Linked DNA regions of Saccharomyces cerevisiae S288C. Each later gene encodes a partner of the first gene's protein in a complex. Each region holds a gene or a part of one and is shown on either strand. Other genes may lie near its edges. A codon is read from its position in the direction of its gene.

What was found.
Region 2: the proteins of PHO80 (region 1) and PHO85 are in contact, whole or in part, in a crystal structure (PDB 2PK9), measured with the Saccharomyces cerevisiae proteins. Residues at the interface, in NP_014642.1 of Saccharomyces cerevisiae: Asn28 (codon at 4,643), Glu91 (codon at 4,832), Cys93 (codon at 4,838), Thr131 (codon at 4,952), Lys132 (codon at 4,955), Gly133 (codon at 4,958), Leu134 (codon at 4,961), Cys135 (codon at 4,964), Asp136 (codon at 4,967), Ser137 (codon at 4,970), Phe138 (codon at 4,973), Thr140 (codon at 4,979), Asn141 (codon at 4,982), Ala142 (codon at 4,985), Cys152 (codon at 5,015), Asn156 (codon at 5,027), Glu159 (codon at 5,036), Asn160 (codon at 5,039), Leu163 (codon at 5,048), Lys164 (codon at 5,051), Asn167 (codon at 5,060), Tyr168 (codon at 5,063), Arg169 (codon at 5,066), Ile170 (codon at 5,069), Ile171 (codon at 5,072), Pro172 (codon at 5,075), Arg173 (codon at 5,078), Glu183 (codon at 5,108), Tyr206 (codon at 5,177), Lys211 (codon at 5,192); in NP_015294.1 of Saccharomyces cerevisiae: Ser42 (codon at 1,835), Glu43 (codon at 1,838), Glu44 (codon at 1,841), Gly45 (codon at 1,844), Thr46 (codon at 1,847), Pro47 (codon at 1,850), Ser48 (codon at 1,853), Ile51 (codon at 1,862), Arg52 (codon at 1,865), Ile54 (codon at 1,871), Ser55 (codon at 1,874), Leu56 (codon at 1,877), Lys58 (codon at 1,883), Glu59 (codon at 1,886), Val71 (codon at 1,922), His73 (codon at 1,928), Leu78 (codon at 1,943), Glu126 (codon at 2,087), Asn127 (codon at 2,090), Lys128 (codon at 2,093), Ile129 (codon at 2,096), Arg132 (codon at 2,105), Arg156 (codon at 2,177), Ala157 (codon at 2,180), Gly159 (codon at 2,186), Ile160 (codon at 2,189), Pro161 (codon at 2,192), Val162 (codon at 2,195), Asn163 (codon at 2,198), Thr164 (codon at 2,201).

The regions. Positions count from the first base shown.
Region 1 is NC_001147.6:320,688-328,210, forward strand, and holds PHO80 (Pho80p), read left to right. Parts: upstream 1-4,561; coding exon 4,562-5,443; downstream 5,444-7,523. Other genes in the region: transcriptional regulator SIN3, read left to right, coding at 1-861; palmitoyltransferase PFA4, read right to left, coding at 1,171-2,307; IZH2 (PAQR-type receptor), read right to left, coding at 2,724-3,677; exosome nuclease subunit RRP6, read left to right, coding at 6,145-7,523. UniProt on the Saccharomyces cerevisiae protein: Cyclin partner of the cyclin-dependent kinase (CDK) PHO85. Negatively regulates the expression of phosphate-starvation-responsive genes under phosphate-rich conditions.
Region 2 is NC_001148.4:487,043-494,646, reverse strand, and holds PHO85 (cyclin-dependent serine/threonine-protein kinase PHO85), read left to right. Parts: upstream 1-1,609; coding exon 1,610-1,626; intron 1,627-1,728; coding exon 1,729-2,629; downstream 2,630-7,604. Other genes in the region: TRM44 (tRNA (uracil) methyltransferase), read right to left, coding at 1-1,104; SVL3 (Svl3p), read left to right, coding at 3,283-5,760; SRL4 (Srl4p), read left to right, coding at 6,440-7,285; YPL034W (uncharacterized protein), read right to left, coding at 7,438-7,604.

The DNA.
Region 1 (7,523 bases):
AAGCATGCTCATACCTTGATGACTGACGCTAAAACTGCGGAAATAATGGCTTTGTTCGTTAAAGATAGAAATGCCTCCACCACGAGTGCGAAGGACCAAATTATCTATCGCTTGCAGGTGCGCTCACATATGTCCAACACAGAAAATATGTTTAGAATAGAGTTTGATAAAAGAACTCTGCATGTTTCCATTCAATATATTGCACTTGATGATTTGACACTAAAGGAACCAAAGGCAGACGAAGATAAATGGAAATATTATGTAACATCGTATGCTCTGCCACATCCAACAGAAGGCATTCCGCACGAGAAACTGAAGATACCATTTTTGGAAAGGCTCATCGAATTTGGACAAGATATTGATGGAACAGAGGTAGATGAGGAGTTTTCCCCCGAAGGCATCTCTGTATCGACATTGAAAATTAAGATCCAGCCTATAACCTACCAACTGCATATTGAAAACGGGTCTTACGATGTTTTTACCCGTAAGGCTACTAACAAATATCCTACTATTGCTAATGATAATACTCAAAAAGGAATGGTTTCTCAGAAGAAGGAGTTGATATCAAAATTTCTAGACTGTGCAGTTGGTTTGAGAAATAATTTAGATGAGGCTCAAAAATTAAGTATGCAAAAAAAATGGGAGAACCTAAAAGACAGCATAGCAAAGACGAGTGCTGGAAACCAGGGAATAGAGAGTGAAACCGAAAAAGGTAAAATTACGAAACAGGAGCAGTCGGATAATTTGGACAGCTCTACTGCAAGTGTACTGCCTGCATCCATTACTACTGTACCACAAGATGATAATATAGAAACGACTGGGAATACTGAATCTTCAGACAAGGGGGCTAAGATTCAATAAGTAGTTTTAACTAGATTTAGAACAAAAATCTTTAGTACGACAGGGTCTTTCTTCTGATGTGTACCTTTAATTAATGTCAACGATATAACATTGTAATTTTAAAATTCTAAGTGTTTTTGAAGCTTTTTAAGACACATCGATCTTTCCATAAAGGAAGAAGTGATAACATGCAGTGGTTATATTTGTGTACTCATACACTGGTGCATGAATCTTTTTACACGTCATTAGCATAGTATGTAATCGAAAGGACACTATTTATAAGGGACAGTTTATACATACATATACTTGATATTCCCATGAATGAGTATTCTATTCCATATCAACATCCACTCCAAAATCGTCTAGTGATTCACCCCAGTCGTTGTACCACTTCTCACGAGAAGCATGTCTGCCATTTTGAGGAAGTCTGGTCCTTATTAGCTGTTCGCCACTTTCATTACGCATCTCTATTGTTGAGCTGCCATGATTGAAGACGGTGTTTGTTTTACCTCCATCTGGTGGCCAGGGAAGTGAAAGGATGTGGTCTTCCAATGAGGAGTTAGCCTCATATTTTGAAATACCGTTTTTTGGAAAATTGTTCCCATCTCCCGTAGGAACACCATATGGCCATAACCATAAATGAATGGGACCAAGGTACAGTAATGCATTAGTGTACAAATCAAAATCGTAAGGGAAATTTACAAGTTCATCAAAACGTGGCCTTTTTTTTGTCAAGTGTTCCTCAGCATCCTTTTTATTTTGAAACGACCTCGACTCTGGATATATTCTCCAAGTATTATCAATTAATTTCTGAGTTAATCTTCCGGAGTTGAACAAAGATTCTAGCCGATCCATATCCCACGACTCAATTTGAGATCTTCCATTCAAGATTTGATTGAATAAACATCGTAGGAAAAGAATTGTTATCGTTAGTAGGACAAAAGAATTTAAAGGACTCGATATTGTTAAGAAAATCAGTTCTGATTTTTTGAAGAAGTAGCCAGGCAAGTGCCTTTGTTGCCAAATAAAATATATCCGCTTAGCTTGTATGCAAAATAAAACACTAGTCGTCACTATGATCCAAAATAAGAATCTAAGGAAATGCGGATAGTTTGCAAAGCCGACGCAATTCATCGTCCACGGACAATGATGATCCATCATTAGGACGCATTGATTGCAGGTTTTACAATGATGTGAACGTTCTGGCTTATAACTTTGGCACTTCTTACAGAAATTCCGCCAGATATCAGGGGGTGGTTTGTAGTTGGGCAAAGGCCTTCCTGGATTTGTGCAGATGGCCAAGTAATAGGAGAGCCATATCATTGACAAACAGAACTCAAATGTTATTTGTTTCGGAACTGACAAGAAATTGGATAAAATAAAGTAGTGTGCACCATAGCCTATAAATGAAATCAGAAACGTTGGTATAGCAATTCCTAACCAAGGCCACCTTAACTTTACTGGCATGGTTTAACGATCAACTCAGTTTTTAAAATTCATGTTATACACCATCACCACAATGTAGGGACGATAATTATCGTATCTCAGATCCGCTATTTTTCATAAGCGCGTAGTAAGAGAGGTAGGTTTAACAGGATAATAAAAATATACATGAGACAGCCAATAAATAGTGGAAATAAGCCGTATTTTAAATTGAGAGCTCTTAGTAAGAAAAATGTTCCTCTGAGACGCTAAAGTCGTGTATATTTCATATGAGAAAGTGCACAAATCCTGCTTCCCTTCTATCTGGGAATTTCTTTTCTATATTTGAACATATTATTGTAAGGGCCTTTTTCTTTATTCTCTTCTCACATATAAGAACCATTTTATTATTTTAACTTTAAAACTACTTTCTATATAAATCCTACGTTTTTTCCAAATATCTAGGAGACAATCCCGTTCTCCATCTTTATATGGACTAACTCATAACTATTTAATAAACCTCTCAAGTGGCACAATGCCGCAATAACAACTAGAAAATGGAAAAGTTGGTGAGAATGACCCCAAATATCAAATTTACCGGGGCAAATCTTTTCAGGAAACCGCATTCCATAAAGAACAGCGCCAATTATATATAGGACACCCCCAAGTAATACCCAAAAGAGCTGAATTTGGGTCCAAATTTCTGAAAAACTATAGCAGTAAAGGCCGCTGAATATTGGAATAATTGAGGATAAACCAAAACAAACAAATAGCCCAGCTCTGTAAGGTCTCCACTCTCTTTTCCGAAACTTATCTTTTAGTGACACAATACTACACGCGATCCCAAAGCTAACGGTAATAAGCGCAAATAGGCAAAATAGGGAAAATTTCTCAAAATAGCCGTAGTACAAAATACTGACCATTGACGTAACAATCAATATACAAATACCAAGGTAGTCCAACTTATTTCCTAAGGTAGCAATTCTTAAGGAGTGACTCTTTAGACAATGAAAGGAGCTACTCAATATTAAACATGCAAACGCCCCCGAATAAAAGAGGTCGATTACCATATGATCTAGCCATGTAGTTGTTGCAAACACTTTGATAGTAGATTTATCTAGCAACAGTACAGTGAAGAACCCGAGAGCAGGAATTAAATGTGAATAAATATTGACACTTTCATTATGCAAATAAAACAAACTTTTAAAAGTTTCAATGAAGCTACTAGTTTCTTTCACGTATCCATGTAAAATAAAATCATTGTCTCTTTGCCATTCCGGAATTTCATCCCAACTATATAGCCTTCTTAGTACTTTTTTAGCTTTAGCGACCTCTGCGGGATTTGCGGATGTTTTCCCTGCAGCTCTCTTCTTCAGCTCTTGCACACTCTTAGTCCTTTCTAATAAAGTTGACATTTGGAATGATTCTTCTCCAACATGCAGCATAATTAAAACGACGGGAAATTTAGTACATTTGGCTCAAGGAACGCTGACATAAATACTATTTCTAATCTACTATTCGAAGAGATGTTGGATTTCTAAAAAAAAAAGAGCTCAACAACGGAAGACCGCCTATTAACCCCGAGTGTCTGTTTTTTAGTATACTCGAAGCAAACAAGAAAAGTTTGTTACTTAATTTCTGGCCTAAACAAGGTAGTGCTACCCTAGAGGAAGTACGATATCAGTACACTTTTGTATTTTTAACGAATTATGGTATTCTTTAAAATATTTAACATGCTATCGAGTTTTTCTTTCTAAAATGCGGTTTCAAAATTTGAGTCCGCTTTCTATGGAAAATATGAATGAGGCGAACGTGCTTGTACCATAGTCAGATTTTAACCCGTAGGTGAGAGCCTGAGGCTTCTGTAAACCACCTTGGAAACACATACGGGTTATAAGATTTTAACAAACAATCAGTCTCCATACTCATCCTAGGATCTCTTCTTCATTTGATGAATAAAGGATTCAAACTTCAGAAAGTTATTCAGCGTATATTGGCTTTCCTTTAATCTAATGCCCCAAGCCATCATAAATAGCCATATTACTTTGAAAGTGCTCATCCGTATACACTGCAACTTTTCTTCTTTTCTCTTTAGCCGATTATAGCTCCTACCTGTTTTTTTTTTCTTCTTAAGATTATTTATATTCCAATTTTATCATCCGTATTGTTTCCAATAGCGTTCCAGTGATCAGTTATATACTTCGAGAGGCAGATAACCTTTCTTTTTATAAGTGTTTATCAAATTTAAGTCTGCAAGCTATCATAAGACGAGGATATCCTTTGGAGACTCATAGAAATCATGGAAAGCACATCAGGAGAACGTTCCGAAAATATACATGAGGATCAAGGGATACCAAAAGTAATTCTGCCCGCTGATTTTAATAAATGCTCTAGAACTGACCTAGTGGTGCTCATATCACGAATGTTAGTATCGCTGATAGCAATCAATGAAAATTCAGCAACAAAGAAATCTGATGACCAAATTACTTTAACACGATACCATTCTAAGATTCCTCCAAACATATCAATCTTCAACTATTTCATACGACTGACAAAGTTTTCCTCTTTAGAACATTGTGTGCTTATGACATCACTCTATTATATCGATTTATTGCAAACTGTGTATCCTGATTTTACGCTTAATTCGTTGACTGCCCATAGGTTTTTATTAACAGCCACCACAGTCGCAACAAAAGGCTTATGTGATTCGTTCTCAACAAACGCCCATTATGCAAAAGTTGGAGGAGTACGATGTCACGAATTGAATATACTGGAGAACGATTTTTTAAAGAGAGTAAACTACAGAATCATTCCGCGGGATCATAACATTACGTTATGTAGTATAGAGCAAAAACAGAAAAAGTTTGTCATAGATAAAAACGCATTAGGGTCTCTCGATTTGGATTCTTATTCTTACGTTAATCGTCCAAAAAGTGGATATAATGTTCTAGATAAATACTATCGAAGAATAGTTCAGCTGGTGGGTTCCTTTAACGCTTCACCTGATAAGAGTAGAAAGGTTGATTATGTTCTCCCGCCAAATATTGATATAGTGAGTGAAAGTGGCTCCCAAACTACTCAACTAAAGGGGTCGTCATCACCCAATTCTCACTCTTCACAAAAGCGATATTCTGAGGCAAAGGACGCACATATCTATAACAAGCGATCAAAGCCAGATTAATGATTTTTCGTGGGGTATTATGAAAGCAATCATGATTGAGCAAAATTAAAACTTTCCATTTGTACATATATATATATATATATATATATATCTGTGTGTGTATAATAAGCAATTGGCCATCATTTGGCTAAAAAGTTCAAGATTTCAGGTAGTATATAAGAGAATAACTTCCCTCTTTTGCTAAAGAAGGATATGTTCTATTTCAGCCTTTTTGCATCATAAGAGCATAAGCGACAGAAAACACTTCGAGATGAGCTTGAGAACTCCATTTCAATTAACTTGATAAATACATGTAGATTCATATCATCACTGTTCTTTTCAGATACTAGTTTCAAAACTTCCTTGACAGAACCATTTCATGTTCAATAATGAAAATTACTTTCACATGTTTTAGTGGAAAAATACTGAACAATGAAATTTCAATATCGCATATAATAATTTTTGTTATCAAATATATATTTTTCGGAAGTCATATACATTAAATAATTAAAACATTATTTTTAAAAATTAAAAAAATATATTTTAGCAAATAGTTTTTACTTTTTTTTAAATGCAAAATAAGTTCACGTGATATTATTAATAATATTTTACCCAAAAATATGAGGGCATCGGAAAATTTTTCAGTAATGAATATTAATGTTCATCTGAAGATAGACGAAATAGGAACAACAAACAGCTTATAAGCACCCAATAAGTGCGTTATGACTTCTGAAAATCCGGATGTACTTTTATCTAGGGTGATAAATGTGGTGAGAGCAGCATCATCGTTAGCCAGTCAAGATGTAGACTTTTACAAGAATTTAGACAGGGGATTTAGTAAAGATCTGAAATCAAAAGCAGACAAACTTGCGGATATGGCGAATGAAATAATCCTCTCTATTGATGAGCATCATGAATCATTTGAACTTAAAGAAGAGGACATTTCTGACTTGTGGAACAACTTTGGAAACATCATGGATAATTTGTTAGAAATGTCAGACCATTCGCTGGATAAGCTGAATTGTGCAATAAACTCAAAGTCAAGAGGTTCCGATCTTCAGTATTTAGGCGAATTTTCAGGAAAGAATTTTTCTCCCACCAAAAGAGTCGAAAAACCTCAGTTGAAATTTAAAAGTCCAATTGATAACAGCGAAAGTCATCCGTTCATACCTTTATTGAAGGAAAAACCAAATGCTTTGAAGCCACTCTCTGAGAGTTTGAGGTTGGTTGATGATGATGAAAATAACCCCAGTCACTACCCCCATCCTTATGAATATGAGATTGATCATCAAGAGTATAGTCCAGAAATTCTCCAAATTAGAGAGGAGATTCCCTCAAAATCCTGGGATGATTCGGTACCAATTTGGGTAGATACAAGTACAGAACTCGAATCAATGTTGGAGGACTTGAAAAATACGAAAGAGATTGCCGTTGATCTTGAGCATCACGATTATAGGTCATACTATGGTATTGTTTGCCTCATGCAAATTAGTACAAGGGAAAGGGATTATTTAGTTGATACTCTAAAACTTCGCGAAAATTTACATATTCTGAACGAAGTGTTTACGAACCCTTCAATTGTGAAAGTTTTTCACGGTGCATTCATGGATATTATTTGGCTTCAGCGAGATTTAGGTTTGTATGTCGTTGGTCTCTTCGATACTTACCATGCGTCTAAAGCAATCGGTCTTCCTAGACATAGTTTGGCCTATCTTTTGGAGAATTTTGCCAATTTTAAAACTTCAAAGAAATATCAGTTGGCTGACTGGCGTATAAGACCGCTTTCAAAACCCATGACGGCATATGCTAGAGCAGATACTCACTTTTTACTAAATATATATGACCAGTTGAGAAACAAACTTATCGAGTCTAATAAGTTAGCAGGTGTTCTTTATGAATCAAGAAATGTCGCAAAAAGAAGGTTTGAATATTCAAAGTACAGACCACTGACACCTTCTTCAGAAGTTTATTCTCCAATCGAAAAAGAGAGTCCTTGGAAAATATTGATGTATCAGTACAACATACCACCTGAGAGGGAAGTATTAGTAAGAGAGCTATACCAATGGAGAGATCTTATTGCAAGAAGAGACGATGAATCGCC
Region 2 (7,604 bases), on another chromosome or scaffold:
TATAACTTGCTCCTTTAACGATGATTGCACTTCAGGCGGGTAGATAGACCACGATTTGCGCTTCCTTGCATCTATGCCGAGACCTTTAATACTTTCACTCAGTAAAATATAACAAAGAGCACCATTGCCGCATCCCAAATCTCTAAATTGCATTTTTGAACGGAAGTCTGGACCGTACACTTTAATCCATAATTCAATCAGGAAAGCGGCAATGGCTATGTCTTCAAAAACATGTTTTTTTGGGTCTGTAGACTCTGCCCAATTCTCCACCAGGAACTTGGAGTATTTTTTCTTCAAAACAATGTATGTGTTCTGAAAATTGACTTTATTTACCACTTGATCGTGATTGACCCTCTTTTCATAACCCTGCATCACACCCTTTGAGTGTTTGTTAGCAGTTTGTAATAACCTATAAGCGGTTCTTACAACACGCTCAGATTCATCTGTAAAGGCAGTTTTATCCTCGGGGAAGGGAATGTAGTGTACAGAAAGAACTGACTGGTGTAACAAAATGCCTACACTTTGCGTTCTTGGAATATAAAACGGACAGTCTTTCTCAGAGTTAATGTGCGGCGTATATACAATCAATGAGGTCTCCTGAAAATTAGGGTCTTTGCTATTTAGGATTAAACATGTTTGGTTTATGATAGCATCTTTGTAAAAATTCCTAGGAATGATCCTTCTTACAAATTCATGAACGGGTGACAATTTTAAACTCTCAGATGTTTCACACGACCTTATGTTTAAATCTTCAATATTTATCTTCTTGACATCTTCTTCACCGCTTTCATTACCATTATCGATCTCAAACTTTTTTAATACGGACTCGTCAAATTTTGGCTCAGACCCAGCTTCTGCAGCATGATTGATCTCTTTCAAAATATCCGCTCTTAATATGACAGTAGAGTTAATATTTGGTTCTCTAATAACGTTCATCATTGCTTGCTCGAAGTGGGACTTTGCGAATGTTACTTTCCCATCCGTTTGGTAAAGGCTTAACCATTGAGGTCCTAGAATACTTTTATCATTCACAATAAACTTGAAGCGATCTTTGTGTTGATTTTGATTGTTTTTAGAAATATGTGCACTACCGTCGCCAGTCATTGTTGAGAGAAAGGAGAAGTATCACAAGATAGCAATATAATCGGACCAAATGCGTTGTCTATCTTGCGTAATGGAAATCGCATTTTCTAAATGATATGGTTTATTTCAAAGAATAATGTCATCGGGTTTTCCAAAATGCAAAAAATGAAATTTTTAACAATGCAGAGCAAAAAAGTGAAGAATAAGTGCACTACTAAAACCAAAAAAACAGGAAGAAGGTGCAAAAACGCAAAAAGTAGTTACCATAGTCCGTCCAGACACGTTAAATGAATTGATAGACACGGAGGGATAGACAGGCCGGATGCGCTACTTCTATCTATCCTAGACCCTTTGCTTGTCCTCTGTGTGCAGTTCATTTTCCGTACAAATCACCATACACGTAGACTCGTAAGCCCGTAGCTTTCTAATTGAAAGATAACAAAGGGAATCCAGTTTTACCATATAGCGTATAATTGCAGATAAGGGATATATAGCGCGGCAAACTGGGCAAACTTGAGCAATACCAATGTCTTCTTCTTCACAGTATGTAGTTTTCTAGTCAAGTATCATTGGAAAGTAAAGAACTAGAAATGATGAATACTAACATATATACGAGAAAAAATCAACCTCGAGCTCTATGAACAGATTTAAGCAGTTAGAAAAGCTTGGCAATGGTACGTATGCCACAGTGTACAAGGGACTGAACAAAACCACAGGGGTATATGTTGCCCTGAAAGAGGTAAAACTGGATTCAGAGGAAGGTACACCCTCTACGGCCATCCGTGAGATCTCCCTAATGAAAGAATTGAAACATGAGAACATTGTTAGACTTTATGACGTTATTCACACAGAGAACAAGTTGACTTTGGTTTTTGAATTCATGGACAACGATTTAAAGAAATACATGGATTCCCGCACCGTGGGCAACACACCAAGAGGGCTAGAACTAAACTTGGTTAAATACTTCCAGTGGCAACTACTGCAAGGGCTGGCCTTTTGCCATGAAAACAAGATTCTCCACCGTGATTTAAAACCTCAAAACCTATTAATCAACAAGAGAGGCCAGTTGAAATTGGGTGATTTCGGTCTGGCCCGTGCTTTCGGTATTCCGGTCAACACATTTTCAAGCGAAGTCGTAACGTTGTGGTACCGTGCTCCTGATGTGCTAATGGGTTCTAGGACGTACTCCACATCCATTGATATATGGTCGTGTGGGTGCATTCTTGCGGAAATGATAACGGGTAAGCCTTTGTTTCCTGGCACCAACGACGAAGAACAACTGAAATTGATCTTCGACATCATGGGCACTCCTAATGAGTCCCTATGGCCCAGTGTAACAAAGTTACCCAAATACAACCCAAATATCCAGCAACGACCACCAAGAGACCTACGTCAAGTATTGCAACCACACACCAAAGAACCGCTAGACGGGAATCTCATGGATTTCTTACACGGACTCTTGCAACTTAATCCGGATATGAGGCTGAGCGCCAAGCAGGCTCTGCATCACCCTTGGTTTGCAGAGTACTACCACCACGCTTCATAACGCAGCCCGTCAGCGAAAAACCGTAGCCATGTATATATAATGATAATAATCATCTATAATACACTACTATTACTTTAGTCTCATCTTACGACAGCCTTTACGACGGCTTTTACCGCCTTAAAGGCGGACAGGCTTTGTCTTCCGGAACGGAAAAACATGAAAATTTTTTATTTTTTTTCATTCGTTTATACCGCGAGTGAAAAAAAAAAAAAAGGAAACTGGAAACCTCTCGAATAACGATCGGTGAATGCTTCCCAAGCTGTTTTCGGTCTTCGTGTTGTGTCAAGTGAGAGAGCAGAACGTAAACGCAAACACAACGTCGGTTCTTTCCGTTGGCGTTCGTTGTTTGTTTATTCTCGTTTCTTTGAACCTGTTTGTTTATTTATTTTTAAACAGTCAATTAGTGAGAGTAACACACTTCTAATCTTGGCCTTCTTATTCGTAGCCACCCAGCTATTTTTGGTCTTGATCAGAACAAAGCAAGCAAAACCAAGAACAAACAGAAAGGGGAGAAATAGTTATCGGTTCGTTCCCTGGTTTTACTTCCTTTTTTTTTTCTTTCATTTTATAACACACAACTCCAGCAGTCTGACGCTCACCAATAAGATCAATTTCGTTTAATTGCTTTGCTCGCCCTCACACACGTTATAGTTATGTCGTCTTCCTCACTTCGAGTTTTAGCTATTGGGAACAACCCGAATATCTTGTTCTACACCTCAAGGTTTCAACTGGCCAAGAATATAGACCTCTACCACGTCAACGATTCAAAATCATGTCAATTTGAAATTGAAACTGAATACTACGGCAAAGACCGGTTCGAATTGGAAAATCATTTCACCTCTATCGAGCACTTGACTGAAGCTTTGAGCTCCAAATCAAGTGAAGCCGTCTTCGACATAATCATCATGAGTGCTCCATCTTTACAGGAATTATCCTCGTTAGCGTCCAAGTTAACGTCCATAATCGATTCGAACACCAAAATTTTCTTAGAAAGCAGTGGTTTCATCCAATTGGAACCGTTTGTCAAATTATCGATGGAATCTCCGCATGTAAACGTTTTCAGTATTTTGACTGATTTGGATATTCGTCAAATCGGTCCAAACCATTTCAAACACTTTCCTAGTACTGCAAAGGAGAACACGATTTACCTCGGCGAAAGTAAGTCCAGCACTGAGAAATATTCATCAGGCGTTATAACATTATTAACCACTTTTGAAAAACTGTTTGCTAAATTGTTTTCCAACATAAAAATCAATTTGTGCAATTTCTCATCAATTGAGTTTCTATCACAACAATGGAAGCTGGCGATTTCCAGAATTTGTTTTGATCCGTTGTTAATCATGTTTGAACAAGAAAACCCAAGTGATCTAGACCAGCAGATCATTGCCAAACCTTTAATATCAGGTCTGGTAACTGAAATCATCACTGTAGCAAAAACAATGGGAGCCAGACTAAACAGTAGTCATGATAATGAAAACTCTCTTTTATCTCTATGGAAGAATTCTTATCATTCAACCAATAAGCCACCTGCATTGGTTTATCATTTCATTCATCAAACAACGCCTTTGAACATCGATATCCTGTTGTTACAAACTATTTTATTAGCCGATGACTTTGGTATCAAAACTCCGTACTTAGAATTTTTATACTCTGTTTTGTCCCAATTTGAAAGATTGAATAGTGGCAAATCTAAATGGTTTATTAGGTCAGATGAAAAAACTCAAATCTTACAAAGCTTGCAAAAATCACAAAAAAATGAATCTGCTTTACAGACTCAAATTACCTCCTTACAAGGTCAAATTAGTAAACTAAGACAAGAGTTGCTTATGCAGGCCAAGCAACATGAAATGGAAACTAATGAGTTAAAGGAGAAACATCAAGTCGCTCTAAAAGCCCAGGCCCAAGCCCAAGCTCAAGCCCAATCTCAAGCTCAAACATCAATTGAAGCACTAACGCCAACTGAAGCAACAAACCAATCCGATACAAATGAATATAAAGCAACAGGAACTCCGAATTTGAGGGACATCGAAGATATGGCACTATATAGTGTAAACTACGGAGACTCTCCAGTGAGATCTCCACCACCTGTTGTAAGCTCTCAGCCACAAATGAACTCACCATTATCCTCACATTCACAAACTTTCGGAGAGAATAATGGCACGAATGACAAATTACTACAAGAACGCGAATTGCAACTCCGTAAAAAGGAATTAGAGCTACAAGAACGTGAACTGGAGTTCCAGAAAAGAGCATTACAGCAACAAAGATTTAATAATAGCAATAATTCAATTCCAAGAAAGCCTTCCTTCCCTCAATTACAGCAGTCTGCAAACGTTCGTTCTAACAGCAGAGGAATGCATGGCACCAATGGCGCTATGTCTCAACCTGCATCCGCCGGAAATTTTGTAGACCCAATTTCTTCAAGTATCGCTGCATATGACCCGCAACAACCTCCTTCCTTACCCCTACAGCAGCCACAACAATCGGTACAAGTACAACCTTTTCACTCACACTCTATCAAGCCCACAAGTAGGAAGAATAGAAATAGTAATATGCCTAATATTGGTAATCCTTCCAGTATAAATATGAGTGATTTTGGCAGACCACCGAACAATTCAAGTCAAACTCGCTTAAATTCCATGCCAACGCATAGCATCGTAAACCAGAATAGATTGAGATCACAACAATCGAAAAACAAACTGAATATGCCACATGCCACCAACCCAAACAATACTTTTAACCAAGTCCCTGCTCCTAGTTTAAACAATCACGTTCCCACACAAAGGCAATTTAGCTCCAGTACCATGATAGAAGTTACAAATAATAACAACAAAGTTAATAACAGTAGTAGCAACCCTGATATTTCCACCAACTCGGTAGTTCATAACGCAATGCAATTTACAAATACAAACAACAATACAAGTAGCACTGTGGATATAAACGATCCCAAAAATATTGCACCCCCTCCTACAACCTCTGTTTCAGCCCCAAGCACTCCAACCTTGTCCTCATCAAGTCAAATGGCGAATATGGCTTCGCCTAGTACCGATAATGGTGACAATGAGGAGAAAAATGGTGGTAAGAAGAAGAGATTTGGCCTATTCAAAAAAAAAAATAAATCAAAGAAATAATATCCTTCGACAGCTTAATGAACACGCATGTAAATGTTTTGTAAACAGTTTGTTTTTTCGTTTTTGTATCTGTTAATTTTCTATTATTTATTTTTTTAGTTTTTTTTTGCGGTAGAATTGGGTTATCACTGAATCTATTTTATTTTTTGGGTTGGTTTCTCCCTGTTTTCAGTTTGTTTGAATTGGTGTTTAACAAAATCTGGAATTATTCACTATAATTATTTCCTCTTTTTAGTTTGACCAAATAAACTCAACTATCTTGTGTTATTTCTTTGTATTATAGCTTTACACATATTTAACTATCCATACCTTTTACTTTTTGTATATACTGTTAATTTCATAAAACACGTTTTAGTACCAGAAAATCGTGTCATAGCACCGTTTTAGCAGTGATTTTTAAAATTGTCCAAGGTGCCAATAAATACTGGTGGGAACAACATTTTAATTAGAATAGCTAAAACCTTCTAAGAAAACTATCCCAGCGTAGAAAGAAAGAAATCTCTATCAGCCGCGCAAGTGCAGTATCTCTTATTTTTGCACGGCCCCGTCGCTATATTGTCACACGCATTTGAATTAGTGACTCAATAATAATACAGATTTGTGACGTATAAAGAAACCACAGAAAAACTGCGTATGTCCGAAGCACAGGTCCACTAGTAATAGAGCCCAAAAATCTGACATGAAGAAAACAATTTACAAAGTCCTCGTAAGTTTTTATCAATATGTCGGTTTAGGTAAAAAGTTCCATCCTAGCCACGATACAGTATTAATTATTGGCGGTTCTTCAAATGAGTTAGGCATCGAGCTCTGCGAGACATTTATAGAAGATTATCATACAAAGGTTATAAATATTGACACTATAGACAGTATTAATGGAAAAAACGCAAGGAGAAGTGAAAAACTGTATACTTTTATTTCTTGCAAAGATTTCAGTGACATAAAATGTCTTGAGGAATCCATGCTTTACCTTCAAAATTTAGAAATAATTCCTACAGTGCTCATTAACAACATGCAGGAGGGAATCGAATCGACTCTTCTCAAAGAAGACAAATTTTTGAGACTTGATGAAGAGTCTTTAAATGAATTCGAGAAAATCGTGAGGTATAATTTACAAAGTGTAATATTGATAACTAAGTTCTGCTTGAGTAACATTTTTCCAAAGGTTCAAGCTGAAGCTCAAGAAAAAGCAAAGGGGTTCTATATTGTCAACATATCATCGGTATTGACGTTAAAACCGTGCAAATCAGGAACACATTTTATTACATCGAAATGTGGTATAAACTCTTTCCACGATGGAATAACCTCAGAGCTTAAATTGAAAGATAGTAATTTGAATGTAAAAACGCTGATTGCATATTTACCCAGTTTTGAAAGTGAAGCACATTGGAAGAGACTTTCCCCGAGTATCTCGAAACATCTCGTCCACTGTCTACTTGAGGGAAGATATGGTGATACAATTCTCGAAAGCAAAAGATCAATTGGTGATATTCTTTTGATAACTGGTTTCAAAAGCTCTTTTACTTAAGGGTACTACAAATCGAAGTAACAGTGATAAAATTGCTAAGCACATATATTTCTATAAATAATTCAAGGAAAAGAAAGGTAACACTACAATTTTTATGATGATAAATAATTTGAATAAACCGGCCAGAATAGGCCAAAAAATTTTTTTTAAGTCTAACGAGATTCTCCTCCAAGGCAATAAGAATCAATAAGTCTTAGTACTGATGGTAGCTCCAATACAGGCACATTGAACCACTCTGTATGCCTCTTTTTTCCAGTTGGATCACACCCATAACAGTAAACCAATCCTTTCCCGTATTTCTTCCATAAAAATTTATGAA